Linked DNA regions of Xenopus tropicalis. The protein of the gene in region 1 purifies or fractionates together with the protein of each later gene. This does not show direct contact. Links are inferred from orthologs where the notes say so. Each region holds a gene or a part of one and is shown in the gene's direction. Other genes may lie near its edges.

What was found.
Region 2: the proteins of aicda (region 1) and ctnnbl1 purify together in Homo sapiens (affinity purification with western blotting; 3 studies listed by BioGRID, with this or other methods). This does not show direct contact. The link is inferred for Xenopus tropicalis from reciprocal best matches to the Homo sapiens genes AICDA and CTNNBL1.

Annotation. Positions count from the first base shown.
Region 1 is NC_030683.2:9,023,589-9,034,618, forward strand, and holds the end of aicda (single-stranded DNA cytosine deaminase), read left to right. Parts: intron 1-3,132; coding exon 3,133-3,554; intron 3,555-4,574; coding exon 4,575-4,690; intron 4,691-5,021; coding exon 5,022-5,075; 3' UTR 5,076-6,489; downstream 6,490-11,030. Other genes in the region: slc2a3 (solute carrier family 2, facilitated glucose transporter member 3), read right to left, coding at 8,210-8,410, 8,587-8,790, 9,542-9,643, 10,170-10,274. UniProt on the Homo sapiens protein: Single-stranded DNA-specific cytidine deaminase. Involved in somatic hypermutation (SHM), gene conversion, and class-switch recombination (CSR) in B-lymphocytes by deaminating C to U during transcription of Ig-variable (V) and Ig-switch (S) region DNA.
Region 2 is NC_030686.2:39,420,915-39,432,982, reverse strand, and holds the start of ctnnbl1 (beta-catenin-like protein 1), read left to right. Parts: upstream 1-5,939; 5' UTR 5,940-5,954; coding exon 5,955-6,044; intron 6,045-7,623; coding exon 7,624-7,782; intron 7,783-8,191; coding exon 8,192-8,298; intron 8,299-8,739; coding exon 8,740-8,879; intron 8,880-9,049; coding exon 9,050-9,147; intron 9,148-10,760; coding exon 10,761-10,854; intron 10,855-10,965; coding exon 10,966-11,057; intron 11,058-11,360; coding exon 11,361-11,433; intron 11,434-12,068. UniProt on the Homo sapiens protein: Component of the PRP19-CDC5L complex that forms an integral part of the spliceosome and is required for activating pre-mRNA splicing.

The DNA of each region.
Region 1 (11,030 bases):
TACCAGTTAGTAGGGTACCAGTACCAGTTAGTAGGGTACCAGTACCAGTTAGTAGGGTACCAGTACCAGTTAGTAGGGTACCAGTACCAGGGACAGTACCAGTTAGTAGGGTACCAGTACCAGGGACAGTGCCAGTTAGTAGGGTACCAGTACCAGGGACAGTGCCAGTTAGTAGGGTACCAGTACCAGGGACAGTGCCAGTTAGTAGGGTACCAGTACCAGGGACAGTACCAGTTAGTAGGGTACCAGTACCAGGGACAGTGCCAGTTAGTAGGGTACCAGTACCAGGGACAGTACCAGTTAGTAGGGTACCAGTACCAGGGACAGTACCAGTTAGTAGGGTACCAGGGACAGAACCAGTTAGTTGGGTACCAGTAGCAGGGGCAGTGCCAGTTAGTAGGGTACCAGTACCAGGGGCAGTGCCAGTTAGTAGGGTACCAGTACCAGGGACAGTGCCAGTTAGTAGGGTACCAGGGACAGTGCCAGTTAGTAGGGTACCAGTACCAGGGACAGTGCCAGTTAGTAGGGTACCAGTACCAGGGACAGTGCCAGTTAGTAGGGTATCAGTACCAGGGACAGTGCCAGTTAGTAGGGTACCAGTACCAGGGACAGTGCCAGTTAGTAGGGTACCAGTACCAGGGACAGTGCCAGTTAGTAGGGTACCAGTACCAGGGACAGTGCCAGTTAGTAGGGTACCAGTACCAGGGACAGTACCAGTTAGTAGGGTACCAGTACCAGGGACAGTGCCAGTTAGTAGGGTACCAGTACCAGGGACAGTGCCAGTTAGTAGGGTACCAGTACCAGGGACAGTGCCAGTTAGTAGGGTACCAGTACCAGGGACAGTACCAGTTAGTAGGGTACCAGTACCAGGGACAGTGCCAGTTAGTAGGGTACCAGTACCAGGGACAGTGCCAGTTAGTAGGGTACCAGTACCAGGGACAGTGCCAGTTAGTAGGGTACCAGTACCAGTTAGTAGGGTACCAGTACCAGGGACAGTGCCAGTTAGTAGGGTACCAGTACCAGGGACAGTACCAGTTAGTAGGGTACCAGTACCAGGGACAGTACCAGTTAGTAGGGTACCAGTACCAGGGACAGTACCAGTTAGTAGGGTACCAGGGACAGTACCAGTTAGTTGGGTACCAGTACCAGGGGCAGTGCCAGTTAGTAGGGTACCAGTACCAGGGACAGTACCAGTTAGTAGGGTACCAGTACCAGGGACAGTACCAGTTAGTAGGGTACCAGGGACAGTGCCAGTTAGTAGGGTACCAGTACCAGGGACAGTGCCAGTTAGTTGGGGTACCAGTACCAGGGACAGTGCCAGTTAGTAGGGTACCAGTACCAGGGACAGTGCCAGTTAGTAGGGTACCAGTACCAGGGACAGTGCCAGTTAGTAGGGTACCAGTACCAGGGACAGTGCCAGTTAGTAGGGTACCAGTACCAGGGACAGTGCCAGTTAGTAGGGTACCAGTACCAGGGACAGTGCCAGTTAGTTGGGTACCAGTACCAGGGACAGTGCCAGTTAGTAGGGTACCAGTACCAGGGACAGTGCCAGTTAGTAGGGTACCAGTACCAGGGACAGTACCAGTTAGTAGGGTACCAGTACCAGGGACAGTACCAGTTAGTAGGGTACCAGTACCAGGGACAGTACCAGTTAGTAGGGTACCAGTACCAGGGACAGTACCAGTTAGTAGGGTACCAGTACCAGGGACAGTGCCAGTTAGTAGGGTACCAGTACCAGGGGCAGTACCAGTTAGTAGGGTACCAGTACCAGGGACAGTACCAGTTAGTAGGGTACCAGTACCAGGGACAGTGCCAGTTAGTAGGGTACCAGTACCAGGGGCAGTACCAGTTAGTAGGGTACCAGTACCAGGGACAGTACCAGTTAGTAGGGTACCAGTACCAGGTGCAGTACCAGTTAGTAGGGTACCAGTACCAGGGACAGTACCAGTTAGTAGGGTACCAATACCAGGGACAGTACCAGGGGCCCCACAGGCACCAAACTGAGTATCTGTATTGTACTATGTAATCAGTATGGCAGCGCTGCCCACAGTGCCTTTTGAGCCCTGAGCCAATCAGATTTCAGCTCTTAGCTCAAAACCTGGTTGGCTGATGACCCCAATCAGTACATTCCCCCATAAGCCCCTGTGTGACCCAGGATGGGCCACTATTCTACTGGGATCCAAGTCATTAGCCCAGGGCTGCTGTATGTGGGAACTGGCACTCAGTTATATATATATATATCAGTTATAATAACTGCACCAGTCGCCCTAGCAACGCAAAGATCTCATAAAAACCAAACCAACTGCAAATAGAGAGCCGGTCTCTCCGTACGGCCCCCAGCCGCCCCCTGCTGGCAACAAGGGGAACTATTCTGGAAGGAAAAATCATAATCATCATAATGCGGGATTCCAAGTGTCTTACATGTATTAAATGTGTCTTTTTGGGGGGTTCCAGACCCCGATTGTTATAGTTAATAGTTTTCCACAGCTTGGCAGGGGTAGGCAAATGCTTACAGACACGCTTTTTCCAAACAGTTTGGATTTACACAATATTTTTTATTTACTTATAACTAAAATGCCTCTAATATCGCCATCTAGTGGCTAGCAAAATACTTACATATAACTACGAGATATAAATAAAATATCTACATATAACTAAACTACGTAGTATGTCTCCATCTAGTGGCCAATAAAATATCTACATATAATTAAAATACGTACTGTGTCGCCCTCTAGTGGCCAAAACAATATCCGCATAGGAGCTAATGGGGCATTTTTACTTTGCAAGTTATACAGTAAAGGAACAGTGTGAGTCCAACTCATAGCCCCCTGTGAAGCCGGTCAGGGAGGCTTAGGGACCCCTTACTGAGTCAGTGGGCCAGTTACTGGGAAGGTAAAGGCTTCTACCCCACCTTGTACTGGGGACCCCAAGTAATATTCCTTCCCCATATTCCAAATATATATGAGGAGAGTGCAATGTTCAGTTGCAGGGCAGTTCTTTGAACCCTGTGGGGCAGGTAAGTGTCCTTTATGCTGTAAATACTGAGTCCCACTGCTCCTTTGGGCTGCAGATTAAAGGGCAAGTGTAGCAGAATAATATTGAATTGCTGAGCCGGTAGGTGTCTCCCCACAGCCTGCTGCTGAAGCGCAATAAGTTTCTCTATCACTACAAGAACCTGCGCTGGGCCCGGGGCCGCCATGAGACCTACCTGTGCTACATAGTGAAGCGGAGATACAGCTCAGTCTCCTGCGCGTTGGACTTCGGGTACCTGCGGAACCGTAACGGCTGCCACGCGGAGATGCTCTTCCTGCGGTACCTGTCCGTCTGGGTGGGACACGACCCCCACAGGGCGTACCGAGTCACTTGGTTCAGCTCCTGGAGCCCCTGCTACGACTGTGCCAAGCGCACCCTGGAGTTCTTAAAGGGACACCCCAACTTCAGCCTGCGGATCTTCAGCGCCAGGCTCTATTTCTGCGAAGAGCGCAACGCGGAGCCGGAGGGGCTGCGGAAACTGCAGAAAGCGGGGGTGCGGCTGGCTGTCATGAGCTACAAGGGTAAGTGGGGGGGGCACTGGCTGTTGTCTCAGGTCAAATCAGACCCTAATGGCGATCAGAAAAGCAAAAAGTATCTGCACACTCAGAAAAAGTAAATACAAAAAAAGTTTTATTAATTACAAAATCATATCATAAGAAAACAAAGCCCAACGCGTTTCAACCCAATAAAGGGTCTTCATCAGGGGAAAAAAATTTAAAAAAGGGGCATGCAGGCAATTTTTTTGCCCCCGATGATGACCCTTTATTGGGTTGAAACGCGTTGGGTTTTGTTTTCTTATGATATGATTTTGTAATTAATAAAACTTTTTTTGTATTTACTTTTTCTGAGTGTGCAGATACTTTTTGCTTTTGTGATTATTTTTGGGGTTACTGAGTGGGTTTTCTCCAGTGTCTTTGCACCTCTATTATTTATGACAAGGTGAGCACTCCGGCATTTTGTAACCCTAACGGGGATCAGAGCTGCCCCCTAATGGCGGTGGGACCCAATACAACGCTGTAATCCAACCCAATAAACTATATTTTATAGCCTCCAGTATCTAAGCTGGGGCTCATTTATGAAAACTGGGCAAGTTTGCCCATGGCCAGTAACCCATAGCAACCAATCAGTGATTGTCTTTTTTCAGCCAGCTGCAGGTAGAGCCAGGGTCGGACTGGGCCAGTGGGGTACTGGGAAAAAACCTGGTGGGCCCCGGCAGCCTAGAACTGATCCCTGCTGGGTTCTCCCGGGCCCGCAGGTCCCCCTCTCCCAACTTACCTAAGTATAAGCACTTGGGGGAGAGGGTTGGGTGGGCAGCAGGGGTGGGGGGAGGCACGGTGGGGGTCCCTTGGGGGGGTGGGGCCCTGCACCCCCCAGTCCGACCCTGGGTAGAGCAATGAATGCAAGAATTTGGTTGCCGTGGGTTACTGCCCATTGCCGAATGGCCTAATGAGGCCTAATGCTTCTCCCAATAGTCACGCAAAGGTTGCTGGGAGTTGTAGGGATAAACGCCATTTCCCTCTCCCTTTGCCTCCGTGTAACAGATTATTTCTACTGCTGGAACACCTTTGTGGAGAGCCGGGAGCGGCGCTTTGAAGCTTGGGACGGACTGCACGAGAACTCGGTCCGACTGGCGCGGAAACTCCGGCGCATATTGCAGGTAACGCAGGGGGGGCCCATATAGATATATCTAATATAATGTAAATATATCTAATATAAAGCACAAGGAATCATGGGAAAGGAACAGGGGTACAATGGTGGATCCCCTGGGTGCTGGGGGCCCTGAAGCTATAAGGAGCCCTATGAGCGCTATATATATATATGTATATTATATATATTCCCTAAGTGTAATGGGGCCCTACAGGGATTTAGCTGGGGGCCCAGGAGCTACAAGGGATCAAACTAAAAGGAAACCAGTTTCATTCATTCCTCTCCCCTTCGTTTGGGTGGAATTCAGTATAATTTGGTAAAGGCCACACTTTCTATTGCAGCCGCCGTACGACATGGAGGATCTACGGGACGTGTTTGAGCTCCTTGGGCTCTGAAGGTTCCGGTCCCAGACGCCACGAGAGCCAATCAGACTCACCCAGGGTCCCGCTGTTTATTCCCTGTTCTACCCTTACGGGTTCCCTGGGTCGGTACCGGTCCGACTGTACATTTGCCCCACAAACTGTATATAATCCCTTGTGTGTATTTGTGCCGTTGGCGCAGGATTTGTACATTTTTATTTGCGCCACTTAGTCTGACGCTTTAGGGTTCCAGCTAATATGGCGGCCAAGTTCCAATTCCGCCCTTGGCTCCTGTCATTCCTGGGAATGGAACCCCCCCCCTGACTAGCAGTTTTCAGCCTAGAAACACTAAAATGTGCATTTTGGGCAAAGTGCCTGCCCCAAGCTGTGATGGGAGGGTTCCTTTTATATTAATGCCAGGAGAAATGGGGGGTATCAGGTGGGGGCCATAAGCCATACAGGTAGTCAAACAGGTAGCCATACAGATAGCCGTACAGGTAGCCGTACAGATAGCCGTACAGATAGCCGTACAGGTAGCCATACAGATAGATATACAGGTAGCCATACAGATAGCCATACAGATAGATATACAGATAGCCATACAGGTAGCCGTACAGATAGCCGTACTGGTGGCCATACAGGTGGCCGTACAGGTAGCCATACAGGTAGCCATACAGGTAGCCATACAGATGGCCATACAGGTAGCTATACAGGTAGCCATACAGATAGCCATACAGGTAGCCATACAGGTAGCATATATGTATGTATTATTTATGTGTTCATATTACAATACAGTAACAGTAGGGAAATACAGCAATCAGTAAATCTATAGCGTTCCAAGGGTTAAGTGGCACGGGCTGAGAGACGCAGGGGGTTCTGGGAAGCCCGGGGAGGCGCAAGTGGAACTGCACGGTGGGTCATTAAGGGGTTAAACTTTTGCACCTCTGCCCTTAGTAAATGAGCCCCTGATAACCCAGTGCATGCCCATTGGAGCAGAGCTCTGTAACGTCCCATTTCTCCATTCAGAGCACAGACTGTGAGCATTAACCCCTACCCCACCCAAGAGTCCGTTCTTGTGTCATTGTCCCCATCCCAGAAGCAGTCCCTGTCAGTATGTGTTTATATAATCAGTACCGGCCCGGTACCCTGAGCCCAAACACCCCCCGGGGGCTCTATGGATGGGGGGGTTGGGGAATGATACTGATATGACTGGGCTGCACAGAGGGATGTTGCTAATAAAGACATTTAATACAAGGTAAAGGAGTGTTTGTATGTTTATGGCAGACTCGGTACCATGGGAATTGGGGCACAGAACTCTGTGGGACTTTATTTAGCCGGTGCTGCAGGCCCACGTCTGACACCCTAAGGGGCTCTGGGGTGTTTGTGCCCACACTTGGGGGTACAGAGGGGCAAATGGATCTCAAGAGAATCACACAATTGCCCAGCAGGTCTGGGGTGCCTGGGGCAGTGCACTGGGGGGCACTGGGATACATCTATCTATTTATCATCATTTATCTATTGATCTATCATTTATCTGTCATTCTATCTACCTATCATCTATATATCTGTCTATTTATCTATCTATCATTTATCTGACTATCTATCTATCAATCATCTATCTATCTATCTATCTATCTATCTATCTATCTGTCTGTCTGTCTATCTATCTATCTATCTATCTATCTATCTATCTATCTATCTATCTATCTGTCTGTATATCTATTTATCATCATTTATCTATTGATCTATCTATCATTTATCTGTCAGTATCTATCAATCTATCTATCATTGATCAATCAATCAATCATTATCTGTCTGTATATCCATTTATCATCTATCTATCTATCATCTATTTATCTATCTATCATCTATCTAGCTATCTATTATCTATCTATCTATCTATCTATCAATCATCTATCTATCATCTATCTATCTATCTATAATCTATCTATCATCTTTCTATCTATCTGTCTATCTATTATATACCTATCTATCTATTATCTATCTATCTATCATCTATATATATCTGTTTGTCTATCTATCTATCTATCTATCATCTATCTATATATTATCTCTCTATCTATCTATCTATCTATCTATCATCATCTATCTATCTATCTTTCTATCTATCTATCTATCATCTATCTATATATTATCTATCTATCTATCATCTATCTATCATCTATCTATATATTATCTATCTATCTATCTATCTATCTATCATCTATCTATATATTATCTCTCTCTCTATATCTATCTATCTATATATCTATCTATCCATCTATCTATCTATCTATTATCTATCTATCTGTATGTAACATTACAGTGGGTACAAGATCAGAGCACATACAGAAACCAAATAATAATAAAAAAAATGAAAAGTTCATCTTTTTTCAATTATTGTTTTAAATAAAGTTTTATTTTTCCAACATAAAAGGGGGGGAGCACAAACAGAGGAAGCGACTGGAATGGAATGGAATAATGGAATGGGAATAGCTGTGACAGTAAATTGTGAGACAGTAAATTGTGCTAAAGGCAATGATGTCCCTCTGTTGTTGCTATTTATTATTATTAATATTATTATTTATAAAATATAAAATTATATTTAGAAAAAAACTATATTATAAAAATTCCCTTTATTATAAAAAAAAATCCATCTTTATTATTAAAAATCTGTGCTGTCCCATAGCAGCTCTTTAGTTGGAATCACTCAGGGGCCCTGAGCCTGACAGTCTAGTTCTGCGCTCACTCTCTGACTTAGTGATACTGCTCAGCCGCTGCCCTATCAACAGTCTCACAGAGAGGTCTCATATACTAGCAATGAAGGCTGTCGGGGGTCTCTGGAGTGTGGGGGACACCACGTGTCACTGTGCTGCATTGCCCATGGAACTAGACTGGGCTACTAGGCCATGCCATGAAGAGCCTGAAGATGTTCATCGTTCCACAACGGCACCGTCCCCTGATGGTTCCTAAATCCCACTGCTAATAGTCAGACACATACAAACTCTCCTGGCCCTCAGAATGTCAGCTGATGCACATAAATATACTAATATTCTTCTGATTGGGGGGGGGGTCTTGTTCTTTTTGTGACAATTCTGAAGGCCACAACCCTTGCAAACATGGCAACATCAGAGACTGGGGGAGGTGGCAGTCGATTACCATCGGCCCCCTTATACTTTTTCATCTAAAGTTTTCATGCCTGTCATCTGCACACTGTCGCTTTTTGTTCTAGACCTCTCTGGCATCTCAAATTCCTGGGCAATGTCCTCAAATGTGCGGCCTCTGGTCTCAGGGACCTTGAAGAACGTGTAGATGAAGAACAAGATGAGCAGAACCATAAAGATGAGGAAGACGTAGGGACCACATCCTTTCTGTGAAGGTGGAAAGGCGATATGTTAGGAATTTGAGCATAGAACAAAAGATAAAAAAGAAGATGATAAAGAGTGACTTGAAAACTGAGAAAGCAGACCCCGGAGTTCTCCCCTATGAAGAACAGGAGGAATAGACCTCCCCACCTTCCTTCCCAAAACCCTTTTGTCTCACTTACTGCCGCATAGGGGAATAACATTCCCACAAGGAAATTTGCAGTCCAGTTAGAGCAGCCGGATATGGCCATTGCTGCCGGCCTGGGACCCTGACTGAAGAGCTCCGCCACAATGAACCAAGGAATGGGCCCAGGGCCGATTTCAAAGAGGGCTACGAAGCAATAGATTGCCACAATGCTCACATAGCTCCAGGCCTGGTCTTGTTCCTATAAGAGAGTAAGTTGTTAAATAAGGGATTCTGAGTGATGTGGGAGAAGATATAAGGAGCGAAGGTTGAAGAAGGTTGAGAAGTAGGAGGCACAGAGTATGTGACAAATAGGAAGACAGATGCTGAGTGATGTATGGGGTGGAAAGCTTGGTGGGGTAGGAGGCAGCGGGGAGAGGCCATAGAATAGTAGTAGAACAGTTGGAGAGTAGGTGCAGAGCCAAGAGTAAATGCAGCTGAGCAGTAATGCAGGGACAACAAATGATGAGAAGTGCGGGAAAGAAGCTGCAAAGGGAAAATAAGTGAAGGGAAATGGAAGTAGAATAAGGCCACAATGCACGGCAGGACTGTCTATTGTCTATGCCACCGGCCATTCTTATCTGTGATACTGATACTGCTAAGTTTTTTTCGTGCTAAAACTCCCAATATTCAAATTCCCATTCACAAACTCAAAAACTGATAAATAAGCCCCCCGGCCTTTGTACAAGAGCAGCCAAGGGGGGTTTGGCTGTGAAGCCCATTACATACATGGAGGGCTCATTTATGAATGGAATGCACAAAGCGGGCCCAGAGCCACCTCAATGCGCAGCCAGCACCCCCCGATTATAACTGCAGCCCCCCTGCTTATGTGAAGGGGTTGGTAACTTGCATCCAGGCAAAGGCCCACCCATAAATAAGCCTCTTTCTGACACAATGACCAAACGTTACAAAGAAGCAGAAACAGAAGGCATGGGGGGAGCCTGGACTCTTACCTTAAGCTTGAGAGCAATGGTCATGATTAAGGCACCAACAGCCATTCCACCAAGGCCAGTAAGCTGGAGAGTCCGGCGGCCGGCGCGTTCCACAATTAATAGCTAAAGGGAAACAGCAACGTTAGCAACAACCAATGAGTCGCTTACTGGACAGAATAACCCTAATTGCTGCCTTGGTTTTAATTTTACATGGATTTCTACTCTACAATACTCTGATAAAGAGTTCTGATTGTCAGTACTTCCTGCACGCTGCTCTCTTTCCCATGGTTTTCCTACTGCAGCTAGAACAGACCTCCACCAGCCCGACCCCAAGAGCCTTCCTAATCCCTGCCCACAGGCATACAAGCATGGGGAAACCTTCCAACTTCCCATTCACTCTAGATTCTAGAGTATTCTAGAGAATTCCTTGTGCTTCCTCTCCCTGGGGCATGAGTCTAGGCCAAGCCCATAGCTGTAAAAGCACTTTTTAGAGTGGCCTCGATGCACACTCAACTTTGCAGCCAATCTAGAGCTTTGCATTTGTTCTTGTGTTTGTAAATGAGCCCTATATTCCATTTGGCGCTCTCAGTTACCTTCCCAACCCACACAGAGCCATGATACATTAATGCACGTTTTCATAAATACTCACCGACACAACAGTAAACACCGTGTTGACCACCCCTGCACCAATGGTGGCATAAACAGGGTTCGGAACGCCCGCATCCTCAAATATACTGGTGGAGTAATAGAATACCTGTAGAAAGAGAAGCAGGAGGTTGGATGAGAAGGAACAGAGGGTTGGAAAAGAAATGGAGAAAGCAGAAGAACATGGATATGGAATGACAAGAGAATCCTCTACAAACCGACATAAGCACTGGGTTCGCTTAAGGCAGGGATCCCCAACCAGTGGCTCAGGGCAACATGTTGCTCCCCAACCCCTTGGATGTTGCTCTCAGTGCCCCCAAACCAGGGAGTTATGTTTGAATTCCTGACTTGGGGGCAAGTTTTGGCTGAATAAAAACAAGATTTCCTACCAAATAAAGCCCCTGTAAGCTGATAGGGTGCATAGAGGCCCCTAATAGCCAATCACAGCCCTTATTTGGCTCCTCCATGAACTTTTATGGTGCTTGTGTTGCTCTCCAAGTCTTTTTACATTTGACTGTGGCTCACAAGGAAGAAAGGTTGGGGGACCCCTGGCTTACGGTATACGGTAATCTATGTAGGTTTTATTATTTTTTTCATGTTCTGTTATACATTGATGTGGCTGGTGAGGGAAGTATGAATAATACAACATCATTGTTATTAGGTAATAGCAATTATTAGGAACACAGGTTGGTTATTTAGTCCTTTAACCCTCTTTTTGTGGGTTCCAGGGTAGTATGAATGGTACAAGTTGACTATCGGCTTTGGAACTTCATAGGGTTCCCTGTATGTTATGAATAAGGAAATCTACATGTAGCATAGTGCTCATCCTTTTATAGCCTTTAGTGTTCAAACTCGTACAGGTTGG
Region 2 (12,068 bases), on another chromosome or scaffold:
ATAAAATTAACTAAAATATAATGTGCTGTTTCCCTGCACTGGTAAAAGTTGTGTGTTTACTTCAGAAAGTCTACTATAATTTATATAAATAAGCTGCTATGTAGCCATGGAGGCAGCCATTCAAAGGAGAAAAGGCACAGGCACATAGCAGATAACAGATAAAACACCATTGTATTCTACAGAACTTATCTGTTATCTGCTATGTAACCTGTGCCTTTTCTCCTTTTTTCCAGCTTGAATGGCTGCCCCCGTGTCTACACAGCAGCTTATCATATAAATTATAGTAGTGTTACTGTAGCAAACACACCAGTTTTACCAGAGCAGGGCAACAGTGCATTATATTTTTATTACTTTAAAGCTCTTTCATTTTTTGGTGTTACTGTTCCTTTAAGACACTGAAGTACACTCCCCAGCACCCATAATTTGGAGATTATATAGATAATGAGCCTCACAAGGTTTGTCTCTAGCCCAGCCATTACTACAGATAACCCTGTGGAAGGTTGTGGGTTTTGCATATTTCCAGCAGTAAAGATTTATAAATTGCAGGTACAAAGGATATGAAGATGTAGCTAAAAGCATGGATTTTCCATTTAACTCTTCTAGAAGGACCTTCTTTGGTTTCCCTTCACTGTTACTGAGATGGCAGAGAGCCTAAAGCCAGAGCTTTTTGTCCAGTCTTCTCCCAGACATGATTTGAGAAGACACATTGGCAGATCCAGTTTTGTATCCAGGCAAACCAGTTGCAAACTTATTGCCTTGCAGGTTAGACTGTGGGTATAATCTCCTGAGATGGTCTCACATACACTGATATGCACGGGCAATTAGTTGATATAACTGGCAAACCATTTCCATACAAACACACCTGAAATATAGGGAGGTCCCAGCGTACCTTATAGTCCTGCATTACTATATGTTCCCCCACTGGCTTCCTTTCTTACCTATCTTCTTGTTTCCAAAAGCAGCTCCATTTTCCTTTCTTCTCTCACTGTGCCCCTCCTGGGCCTGGATCTATCCTTAGCTTGCCCCCCGCTGATCTGACATTCTAAACCATTCGCCTATAATTTCCCTCCCCAATCATTGCTTTGCTCCATCTCCGTATCCCCTTGTATGGCACAGCTGTAATTAGAAGTCTTGACATCTCTGTAAATGTTCGGTCCATTAAGCCCACAGTGTATTTATATAAAGCGCTCACTGCAGGGGGTATTTTTAGCCAAGTTTCTGAAATGAGTAGATGCATTAACACGTTCTGTCACAGTCTGCTGCCACCGGCGTCCTTCAATGCACATTCTGTTTGTTATAATCTGTTGCTACTGATTATTTTCTATCATTTGCTGATTTTACTTCCACTTAAATTTACATCTAAGGATCACCCAATAGTACCGTATATACTTAACCTAAAGGTGGCCATAAACGAGCAGATTTAGACTGCCATTTTGAGTCCTTTAGATCAATTCAGCAGCTTATCTACCTGTGTATGGGCCCCCCCAAATTATATCTGTTCAAAAATTGGGCAGGTTTGATTTTCCCATCAGATCAGGATCCATGTTGGCTCATTGAACCTGTCTTATGGCTCCTATACCCGTCATTGCCCTAGAGCAGTAACCCAACCTTTTGTTACTGGTGAGCCACAGTCAAATGTATAAAGACTTAGAGAGCAACAGCACCATAAAAGTTCATGGAGGTGCCAAATAAGGGCTAAGATTGGCTATTCGGGGCTTCTATGCACACTATCAGCTTACAGGGGCTTTATTTGGGAGTAAATCTTGTTTTTATTCAACCAAAACTTGCCCCCAAGTCAGGAATTCAAAAATAGCTTCCTGGTTTGGGGGCACTGAGAGCAACATCCAAGGGGTTGGGGAGCAACATGTTGCCCCCGAGCCACTGGTTGGGGATCACTGCCCTAGAGCCAAACAATCGAATCAGCTGAATTAGCTGAAATAGCCCATCTTTGGTGGTTAAAATGGTAGATGATCCGCTTGTTTGGTGACCTTGCCAAACAAATGGATGTTAACATGTATAGCCACATTTGAGTAGCTACACACCTATTATGTAGCTTTTGATTTGCTCCAAATAACGATTGCCTGTAGATACTCTTATCACCATTTTAAGTCATTGCAACAGCTCATTTTTGCACTCAGTTAAGATGAGTGTTGGACTGGCCCACCGGGATACCAGCAAAATTCCCATTGGGCCCAGGTGTCAGTAGGCCCTCCTGCTTTTAGCCATTTGGCCTAATTCATGGTCATTTCTTATTTTTCTATGGGAACAAAGCAACTAAATATATAGAATACATTACAGTATGTAAAGATAAAAAAAACTAGTAAAGTATTGAGACTGAGTAAGAAATGGATGACAGTAGTTTGGCGAGTGGCCCATGGTCTAGGGTTTTCTGGTGGGCCCCTGGCATCCCAGTCCGACACTGGGTCGATGTTTGAAACAGAGAGGAGCCAAAACATTTAAGGGGTGGTTCATCTTCAAGTAAACATTTTAGTATGTTATAGAATGGCCAATTCTAAGCAACTTTTCAGTGTTCCAATTTCTCTGTGAGGCTCCATTTGTATTGTTATTGTTACTTTTTCTTACTTATTTTTCTAGCCAGTTCTTCTCCTATTCAGATTTCAGGCCCTTATTCAAACCTCTACCTGGTTGCTAAGGTAACCTATGACTAAGTACCCTTGGGTACGAAACGCGTAAGGCTTTGTAAGCATTATGTGTAAGTTTCAATAAACTTTTTGTTTTTACCTCAAATATTTTGAGCTACTACAGACATCTTTTTTGAGTTCCTTTTGATTTCCTGGTTGCTAAGGTAGGTTGGACACTAGCAACCAGATAGCAGCTGAAACAAAACCGAAATAATAAAAAAAACCAGAGTCAGACTGAGTGTCCAGGGCTCACCGGAACGGCTGTCTGGGAGTCCACCACCCCAGGAAACCCCCTCCCTCATGGTATACTGCAATTCCTCCTTGCAATGGGGGGCACCTGCAGTTAGCAGAGGGAGTATAGCCCACAAGGGTTGGGACCCACTGGGTTTTTTCCTTAAGCCCCCCCACCCCAATCTGACCCTGTAAAAAACTACAAATAAAACTGAAGACCAATTACAAATTGTGACAAAAGAAAATACAACCCGTGTGCCACAAAGTGTAAACCTCAGTGAAGGGGCTCAATCAGACAGTGGTGTAGGTTTCGCCAGGTCCACTTTTATTTTTACATGGTACCAATTAAAAATTGTCTATCTCTCTACCTCATACTAAAAGCTAAAGTCAATGGTGCAACAACCCCTTTAGGGGCAACTTCAGGGGCGACTGAAACTGAAGCAATGCAATAGCAAAGATTTATCGGGTGGCTAATCTCCCCAAGTGCCACTGCCCTTAGGGTAAAGACACACGGAGCTACTCAGTAGCAGCTACTTGTCACAGCTACTAAACACCAGAAAATACCCTGCCATAGACATTACTGAGAATTGCCTCCAAAACACATGTAGAGACAATTAGCAGTAAATGATCAGCATTGCTTGTTTTTGTAGCCATGACAAGTAGTTGCTACTAGTAGCTCTGTGTGTCTTCACCCTTAATGTAATTCCTGGTTTTATGCTGCTTCTATAATTTACTCTATTTATTTCTTGACAGTAATTCTATCTATTAATGCACAAATGCCCTTGTTGTTATTCATGAGTTTGGCTCAGTAGAAAGCCTCCGCCTCTATGGTTTCGGCAAATTCCAGAGGGGCTGCTATAAGATCCCATAAACACTATTTATTGGGCTGATGGGGAGCTGTTTGGGCCTCTCTACTGCAAATACCAGGGCCTGTTTGGGGTCTCAGTCCAGTGGATGGTTGCTATGTAAAGCAATGCCAGACAACTAATGTCTCAATAATATTTGCAATGGCTGTGTCGCTTCCACAAGTGTAGTAGCAGCCAACAATGCTGAGCCAAACTGGACTGATCCATTCATTGACATGGGTGCCAGTGATTGGGTGCCAGGGGCAATTTCTTGGATCTATCAGCATAGTTGCCAACTATATGTAATCTCCCTGTGCAGTCCCTGGGTTTGGGGTAATCCACTCTGGGAAGTTATCAAGTACACAACATGCAAAACAGGGAGCAATCTGCCATGTTTACTGCTCTTTCTACCCTTTAAAATATTGCAATAGGCATGTATTTTCCACAGAAGACTGGAGAGACCTGTGTTCCCCATAAATACAGTGCTGTATTGATTAACAGAGCCACCATCAGAAATAACGGGGCCCCTCACAACAAAATTTTCTGGGCCCCCCTATAGATACCATAGGCACTTTGACGGGTAGTAAGCACAGAGCTGTCTTTAGCCTGTTAGACTCTGCACTCAACCTGTGGCAGCCTGACCACAAATGGTTTGCCCCATTTTCGGGAAAAAAAATACCTGCCGTCCTATATTTTAATGTTTTTTCCCTATTAAAGGGGTAGTTCACCTTTTTAACTTTTAATATGTTATAGAATGGCCAATTCTAAGCAACTATAGTTTTTGAATTATTTGCCTTCTGCTTCTCACTCTTTCCAGATTTCAAATGGGGGTCACTGACCCCGGCAGCCAAAAAACATTTGTTCTTTGAGGCTGTATTGTTTGTTATTGTTTCTTTTTATAACTTATCTTTCTATTCACTCTCTCAACCAGATAACTGTCTCAAGCAACCAGATAACTGTCTCAAGCAACCAGATAACTGTCTCAAGCAACCAGATAACTGCTGAAATTCCAAACTGTGGGATGGCACACGCGGCGGCACGATTTCGGCAAATCGACAAAAAAGCCTCGCGAGGCAACTTCGGCAATTTGCCGAAATCGCGCCGCCGCGTGTGCCATCCCACCGGCGACTTACATTTTCGCCGGTGGGATGGCAACTGAGGGCAACTCAGGGAGATTAGTCGCCCGGGAACAGGGAGTTTTGTCGTGGGCGACTAATCTCCCCATGTGCCAGAGCCCCAAGAGCTGCGGGAAAATAAAGCTAATAAAAAATTAAGACCAATTGTAGATTGTCTCAGAATACCACACACTGCATCTTACTAAAAGTTAACTCAAAGGTGAATTAACTCTTTAATGACATTGGCAACAGTATGGGGCACACTTTAACACCCCTTAATGCTTTTGTACTTATGCCCAGGGCCCAGTACTAGGTTTGGGGTTAGTTCTTGCCTCAGAATTACATTTATCAGTATAGTGGGGAGACAACAAGAATTATAAACAACATTCTGGCTCTGCAGGAATGTTACTAAACCTCAACTGCGATCTTTTTTTATTATATGACTGAACTTGACTGACAAAAGAGTAAGCTGAGCACTATAGTAACACATTAATAAGCGCCACATCACTTTAGGGCAGTGCTGCAAGTAGGCAGCGCTTCAACCCGGAAGTGCGTCGCTGGGTTTCCGGCGGCGAGGAACTTTACGGCAAGTGCGCTGTGCTGCTGAGAAGGCAAGCGGCTGAGATGGATGTGGGGGAGTTGTTGCGGTACCAGGTGAGCTCGCAAACAGGATAATCCGCTTGTGTCCCCTCTGTAGCGTTACCTAGTCTGTAGCGCAGTTACCCGCAGCTGTTCCAGGACTACCGCGTCCTGCGAGGGTTTTACTAACGCTAGCGCAATGTGTATGTAGTGCAGCGCAATGTGTATGGACGTGCGATTTAAAACAAGACGTAACACTTAGATTTATATAGAGGCAGAAAAGAGAATGTCTTACACTGTGCTGCCTGTATCCTGGGTCAGTGCTATGCTGAGTGAATAGACAAAGTCTTTTCTGGGTGCTAAGATAATCAATGAGTTAATAGGGGTGCTGAGGCCTGCACCAAATATCCCATTTATTAGAGAAACTTGCATCATCAGATTTGTGCTTTTTGCACTTGCCTATGGTTATGATCAGCGCTGCGCAGTCCTTCCTGCCTCCTGTGCTAGATACGCTCAGTTTCATCTATTGATGCAGGGGAACCATGGAGTCTGCTCCTGTATGGGCTGGGTACCGGCGGGATATCCGCAAAGCAGTCGCAACCCGTCTGGGATCTACGTCATGTCCCAACCGTGTAGGTAACCCGCAGGTACACAACTGGCTGGGGTGGCCACTTAGAGAATAAGGGTGAAGACACACAGAGCTACTAGTAGCAGCTGATTGTCATGGTTACTAAAATAGACAATGCTGATCATTTAACGATAATTGCTCCTACGTGTGCAGAGGCAATTCTCTGTATTGTCTATGGCAGGGGATTTTCTAGAGTTTAGTAGCCGTGAAAAAGAAGCTGCTACTAGTAGCTCCGTGTGTCTTTGCTCTAAAGGTGGCCGATTATAGCTGCCAATATCGGTCCCTTAGACTGATTCAGCAGCTAATCGGCCCGTGTATGGGCACTACCGACAGGCCTGCCCGACCAATATCTGGCCTGAAATTGGCCAGATCTCTATCGGGCAGGTTTAAAAATCTAGTTGGATCAGGGACCGCATCAGCTCATTGAGGCGGTCCCCGAACCGGCTTTGCCTATACCCGTAGTTATAATTCGATTGTTTGGCCCAAACCTGGATTTTCCCGATATCACCCACCCGTAGATGGGGATATCGGGAGAAGATCTGCTTGCTTGGTGACATCGCCAAGCGAGCGGATCTTAAGGTGTATGGGGACCTTAAGTCAGAAAAAACTAAACCTGCACACAGGTGTAATTGACAGGGGCATTCTTGACCCCTGGGGGTGCAAGTGCAGGTACCCCAAAGTGATCATTTAGCAGCACTTGTGCTCTGAAATGGAGCAGAGAGACCAATTTTCACAATGGGCCTGACTGCAGCTATTTAATTTTGCATGCAATTCTGTATCCAAGACAGAATTGTTTTTCCTGCTAGTCCCATGGCTGTCTAAGTACAGTCTTATCATGCTTTCTCTTGTGAGATTCTAAATAAATGATTGCAGGGTAGTACTTTTACAAGCAGGATCTGGTGTGGGAAGCAATTTTGGTTACCTGGAGTCGGTAGTACCCTAAACTGAGGAGTCAAAGGATTTATGTAGGGACTCTAAAGCCCTTCTAGTTCTGTCTGGGTACTGCCACTGTTTTGGGTACACAGAATTGAAGTTGGAGGTGCCCATAAGTTGAGGAGTTGGAGTAGAAGGATTTATATATTGTCTCCACAGCCCTATTCACAAGACTTATTGCAAGAACAGGAGCCCATTGTAAGCAGAGCTTGGCCAGATACTGCCTTGCTTTGCCTAATCAGGAGTGATAAGGCCTAAAGAGCTCTTCCTAGTAAGAAAAAAGTGGCCTCAAAGTTGTTGGGCCACTTAGGATGAAAAAAAAAAAGTTGCAGCGTCTAATCCGTGCAGCGCAAATGATGTGCAATTAGTCGCATCGACTTATATAGAAATCTGTGGTGGGTTAGTCGCTGCAAAATACTTTTTAAAAAGTCGAAGTGATAAATTGCCCAGTGTGTCCAGGCTCCCCCCCCCCCCCAGCACCCAATCCAATCCTGCAAGGATGTGTTTATTTGGCAACCTAATAATATAAGCAAACAAGAGGCTCTTGTATTTTCCTAGTTCAACCCACTTACCAGCTGAAGGATTCATGATGTCACTTACTCTTTCCACTATATACATATCTATAGTATTGCCTTGTTTTCTCTTTCTAGCCGGACAGAGGCACAAAACGAGGGCGAGATGATGAACCGGAAGACTTGAGACCACCGAGAAAAGAAAGAGGAGGGAGGAACTGGCACCGAGATGAGGAACGGGGGCCAACTGCAGAGGAGGATAGGAACGCATTGGATGATGGTGATGATGAGGAAGAGGTGAGAAAACTCTTGCAGTTTAATTTGTCTGCTTAATTGGAAAGTTTGTGCCACTGCTGATTAATGTATCTAAAGTCCTGGTAATCTGCAAAATTTATGACTTCATGTCATGCATGCCTTGTGCAAAGCAGCAGCTAGGTTTGGTAACACATGGACATAACTGGACTTCCTCCATGGGCTACAAGTATCCCGACAATATAATGTTTGGAACAGCCAGTTGTCTGGATACTTTTCATAATCTATTATATTTCTGTTTATAGTAGTCCTTTAGAGCCTATTGATTGGCTTGGTTTTATTGCCAGCTGTGGCACTATGCTGGTCTTATATGTTTCAAATGGGTCTTTGCCTGGGTGTTTACCAACAGACACCTGTTAGGTCGCTATTAATTTGTCCCCTATTGTTGACACAGAATGAAACACTGGATGAGGGTGCAGTGAAAAGGATGATCCTGAATTTCGAAAAGAGATCCTACAAGAACCAAGAACTACGTATCAAATTCCCAGACAACCCTGAGAAGTAAGTTCTAGAACTGCAGTACATTGCTTGTATCCTGTATATGTTGTCCATTGTATATAATCCAACCTGCAGCCTCCAGCTTTTATTGAAATACATCTCATGGCATGACAACTATAACTTGAGGCATTGTACGTACCCTGATATATAAATATAAACCACGGACACTTGCCTGTGACCCACGATTGTGCCACTTTATTTACAATAAACTTGGCATGTATCCTGGTTTCCTATACACTACAATTCTTCCCATGCCTACAGTGACTTAGAAAAGAAAGAGAACTATGGGTCATTATGGCGTTTCATTGCTTTGCCTGTACCCTGGGCGTGTCTGCATTTTAGTTTCTTTGCCTCCATTTTTTAATATGATGTTGAGAGTCTCCCACCTATCTTGCACAATGAAAATGCAAACTTTTTTTCTGCTTTTTTTTTAAAAATTTTTAGGTTCATGGAGTCAGAACTAGACCTGAATGATATTATCCAGGAGATGCATGTTATTGCCACTATACCAGATCTGTACCATCTACTTGTGGAGCTCAATGCTGTGCAGTCACTGCTTGGCTTGTTAAGCCATGAGAACACTGATATCCTTTTATATGTCTATAAAGCAGGTAACTTTGGTTGTGTTTGTCACTGTCAATTGTGGAGCTTATTGGTGCATGGGGGGGATAGATCTTACGTGTGTATGTGCTTGTATATTTTTCCCTTATTCTGGTGTTCGCACAACTGTATTAATACTTCCTTAGCCTGCCACATGTGTGCATTGCTGTGGTTGACCTGCTGCAGGAACTAACGGATATTGACACACTTCATGAGAGCGAAGAGGGTGCCCAGGTCCTTATAGATGCACTGGTAGGTAACACATTTAGATCTTTCCTTTCTCCTTATCCTTGTTTGTCCAGAAGCCAGAAAGAAGGGAATATGTCAGGTAATCATAATTGGCTACTATTAAAGTGTGAAGACATATGCAGCTACTAGTAGTGGCTACTAAAATATAGACAATGCTGATCATTTACTGATAACAGTCTCAACATGTGTTTTAGCAGAGGCAATTCTCAGTATTGTCTATGGCAGGCTATTTTTTTGGAGTTTAGCCGTGAAAAAGTAGCTGCTACTACCCTAAGGGGGCAACTAATAGAATTGGCTTATGGAAGGAGAAACATCTATTTCAGCATGCACTTCTGAGAATTGGCTATAGGCAAACCACCAGTTTGTGGTCCAGGTCTGGTGTGGTTTAGTTGGCTGTTTGTGTCATAGTATGGCTTTGTATGTGTTTCCCTCTTTCAGTGGTTTGAAAAGTGCATGAAAAGACAGTAGACTAACACACCTGTGTTGGTGGGAGGAGAGGTGACTCCCCTTTAACAAGAGTTTAGTGTGTTGAAAATCTGTGTTGTATTTGTATATTATTTTAATTAAGCAAAAATGAAAAAAATGCAACTGCTCCAGGATCTGGCATTATTAACTAAACTATGTATTCCGACAACATTAACACGATATGTCTAAATCATTATCCAAATTATTTTTTTGCTGGGAAAAGGGCAGATAAAGAAAAAAAAATCTATCCAGTAGCCTACGCTACTAGTAGAATAGGAGGTCTGCCAATGAGGGCAGTCACTGTAATGAATTCTTCCTAATCAATTTAATGTGAATGTCAGACATATAGAAGATTGGAAATACACTCGAGCAATGAAGTGTAAGATCCAACTCTAAATTATTATCTCCTGGGGAGCTGACCTGATCCTCCAAATGCTGCTTTAAGTGGGCTATAAATGATGTAATTAGTACTGGGATCGATACGTCTCATTATTTGTTTCATATGTGCTTTCTGCATGTTCCAAAGAGGCCCATATAGCCACTTCATTGGCTCTAGCTGTTCTCTTTGAAGGAAATTCAAACAAAAGTGCACTAATTAAAGGGGTTGTTGACCCCTAACTTATGATTTTTATTTTTTTTTAGAAAAAAAAATGATTTAGCTTTTATGTTGCAGCTCTCCAGTTTAGAATTTCAGCAGCTATAGGGTCAAAAAGACCCTAACAACCAGGCAGTGATATAAATGAGAGACTGGAATATGAATAGGAGTAAGTCTGAAAGAAGGATGACTAATAAAATGTAATATTAAAATTGTAGCATCACAGAGAAAAGGTTTTTGACTGTGGGGGTTAGTGACCCCCATTTGAAAGCTAAAAACAGGCAGAAGGCGGCAAATAATTAAAAAACAAACAAAAAAAAGACCAATTGAAAGGATTAAGTCATTTTATAACCTACTAAAACTTAACGTAAAAGTGAATGACCCCTTATAGGCCCATAATAAAAATACACTGAACTTTTCTACTGTTGGATTCACCTAGGATTTCATTGACACGTGTAAATCTTACAGCTGTTTCTTTGTGGCCTTGATTTCTCTGTTCTTCCTACTTGCACTTTGCCCACAGCCTTATTCTTTTTCTTTTTTTCCTTTTATTCAGTTGGAAGGTCAAGTCGTTGCTCTCCTGGTGCAGAATCTGGAACGCCTGGATGAATCTACGAAGGAGGAGGCAGATGGAGTTCACAATACCCTAGGTAAAGACATTCATACAAGTACCTGAACCATGATTTTGGTCAAATGTTCAATGCCGCCATCTTTGAGAGTGTGATTGAGCATATACTCACATTTCCCATTTCTTATCATAGCAATCATTGAGAATATGACGGAGTTTCGCCCTGAAATATGCTCAGACGCTGCACAGCAGGGACTCCTCCATTGGCTGCTCAAAAGACTGAAGGTTGGTTAACATGATGCTGATGCTTTTGTCTAATGGTCCCACCCTACTCCAGTATTGGGATGGTGGTGCTTCCATTTCCTTTCCCAGTGGAGGCGGCATGTGCCCTCTCCTTTTTGATTGGTGGTGGGGGTTCACTTCCACCCTTTGTTGCTTTCTAATACCACTGTTATACATGCATGCGTTTCTTATTGCCTCCCTCGGTATTTTGCTTGAATTAGATTCTGTGGGAATTTTTCATTCTTACTTTACCTCTCGGGTGTTGATTTTGCATCCTCCTCCTGATGTTAATTTTTTCCCCTTTAGGCCAAGATGCCGTTTGATGCCAACAAGCTGTACTGCAGTGAGATCCTGGCCATTCTTTTACAGAACAACGATGGTGAGTTGAGCTGCTAACCTCCCCTTTCTTATTTTTTTCTGATTTCCTATACATTTTTTTTCAGAAAAATATATTATACACACACCCTTGGGTACACCTAAAGTTTGTGATCCCAGTTTAAGTTAACTGCCACTAAACACTTCCAGAAACTGTTGGTCAGTCCTGCACATCAACATTGAGGTCCTTACACAACATTTCTCCAGGATTAAGGTCAGGATTTTGACTTGGCCAGTACTAAAACTATATAATAAGAATCCAATTAAACAGGTAAAAGACATTACACTTCAAAGTGACATTTGTGTATGATAAAAAGGTAAGTAACCCTCTAGGATTCTCAGTTCATTTGAAGGGTAAATTAAGGTAGCCATAGTCGCCAAGTGAGCGGTTCTGCTCCTAATATGGGCATAGATGTTGATCTAGCAAAAAATGGTTAAAGTTCGTTTCGTAGTCCTGACCTTAATCCTATAGAAATGTTGTGGAAGGAGCTGAAGCCCAGTAACATCTATGTGTTGAAGCTGTTCTGTACAGAGAAATGGGCTGCAGTTCCTCCAGGGCAATACGCATTACCAATGGTATTTAGTAGCAACTCCCATTATCTGATTTAAGGACATAAAAAAAGGGTCCTTTCGTAGGCC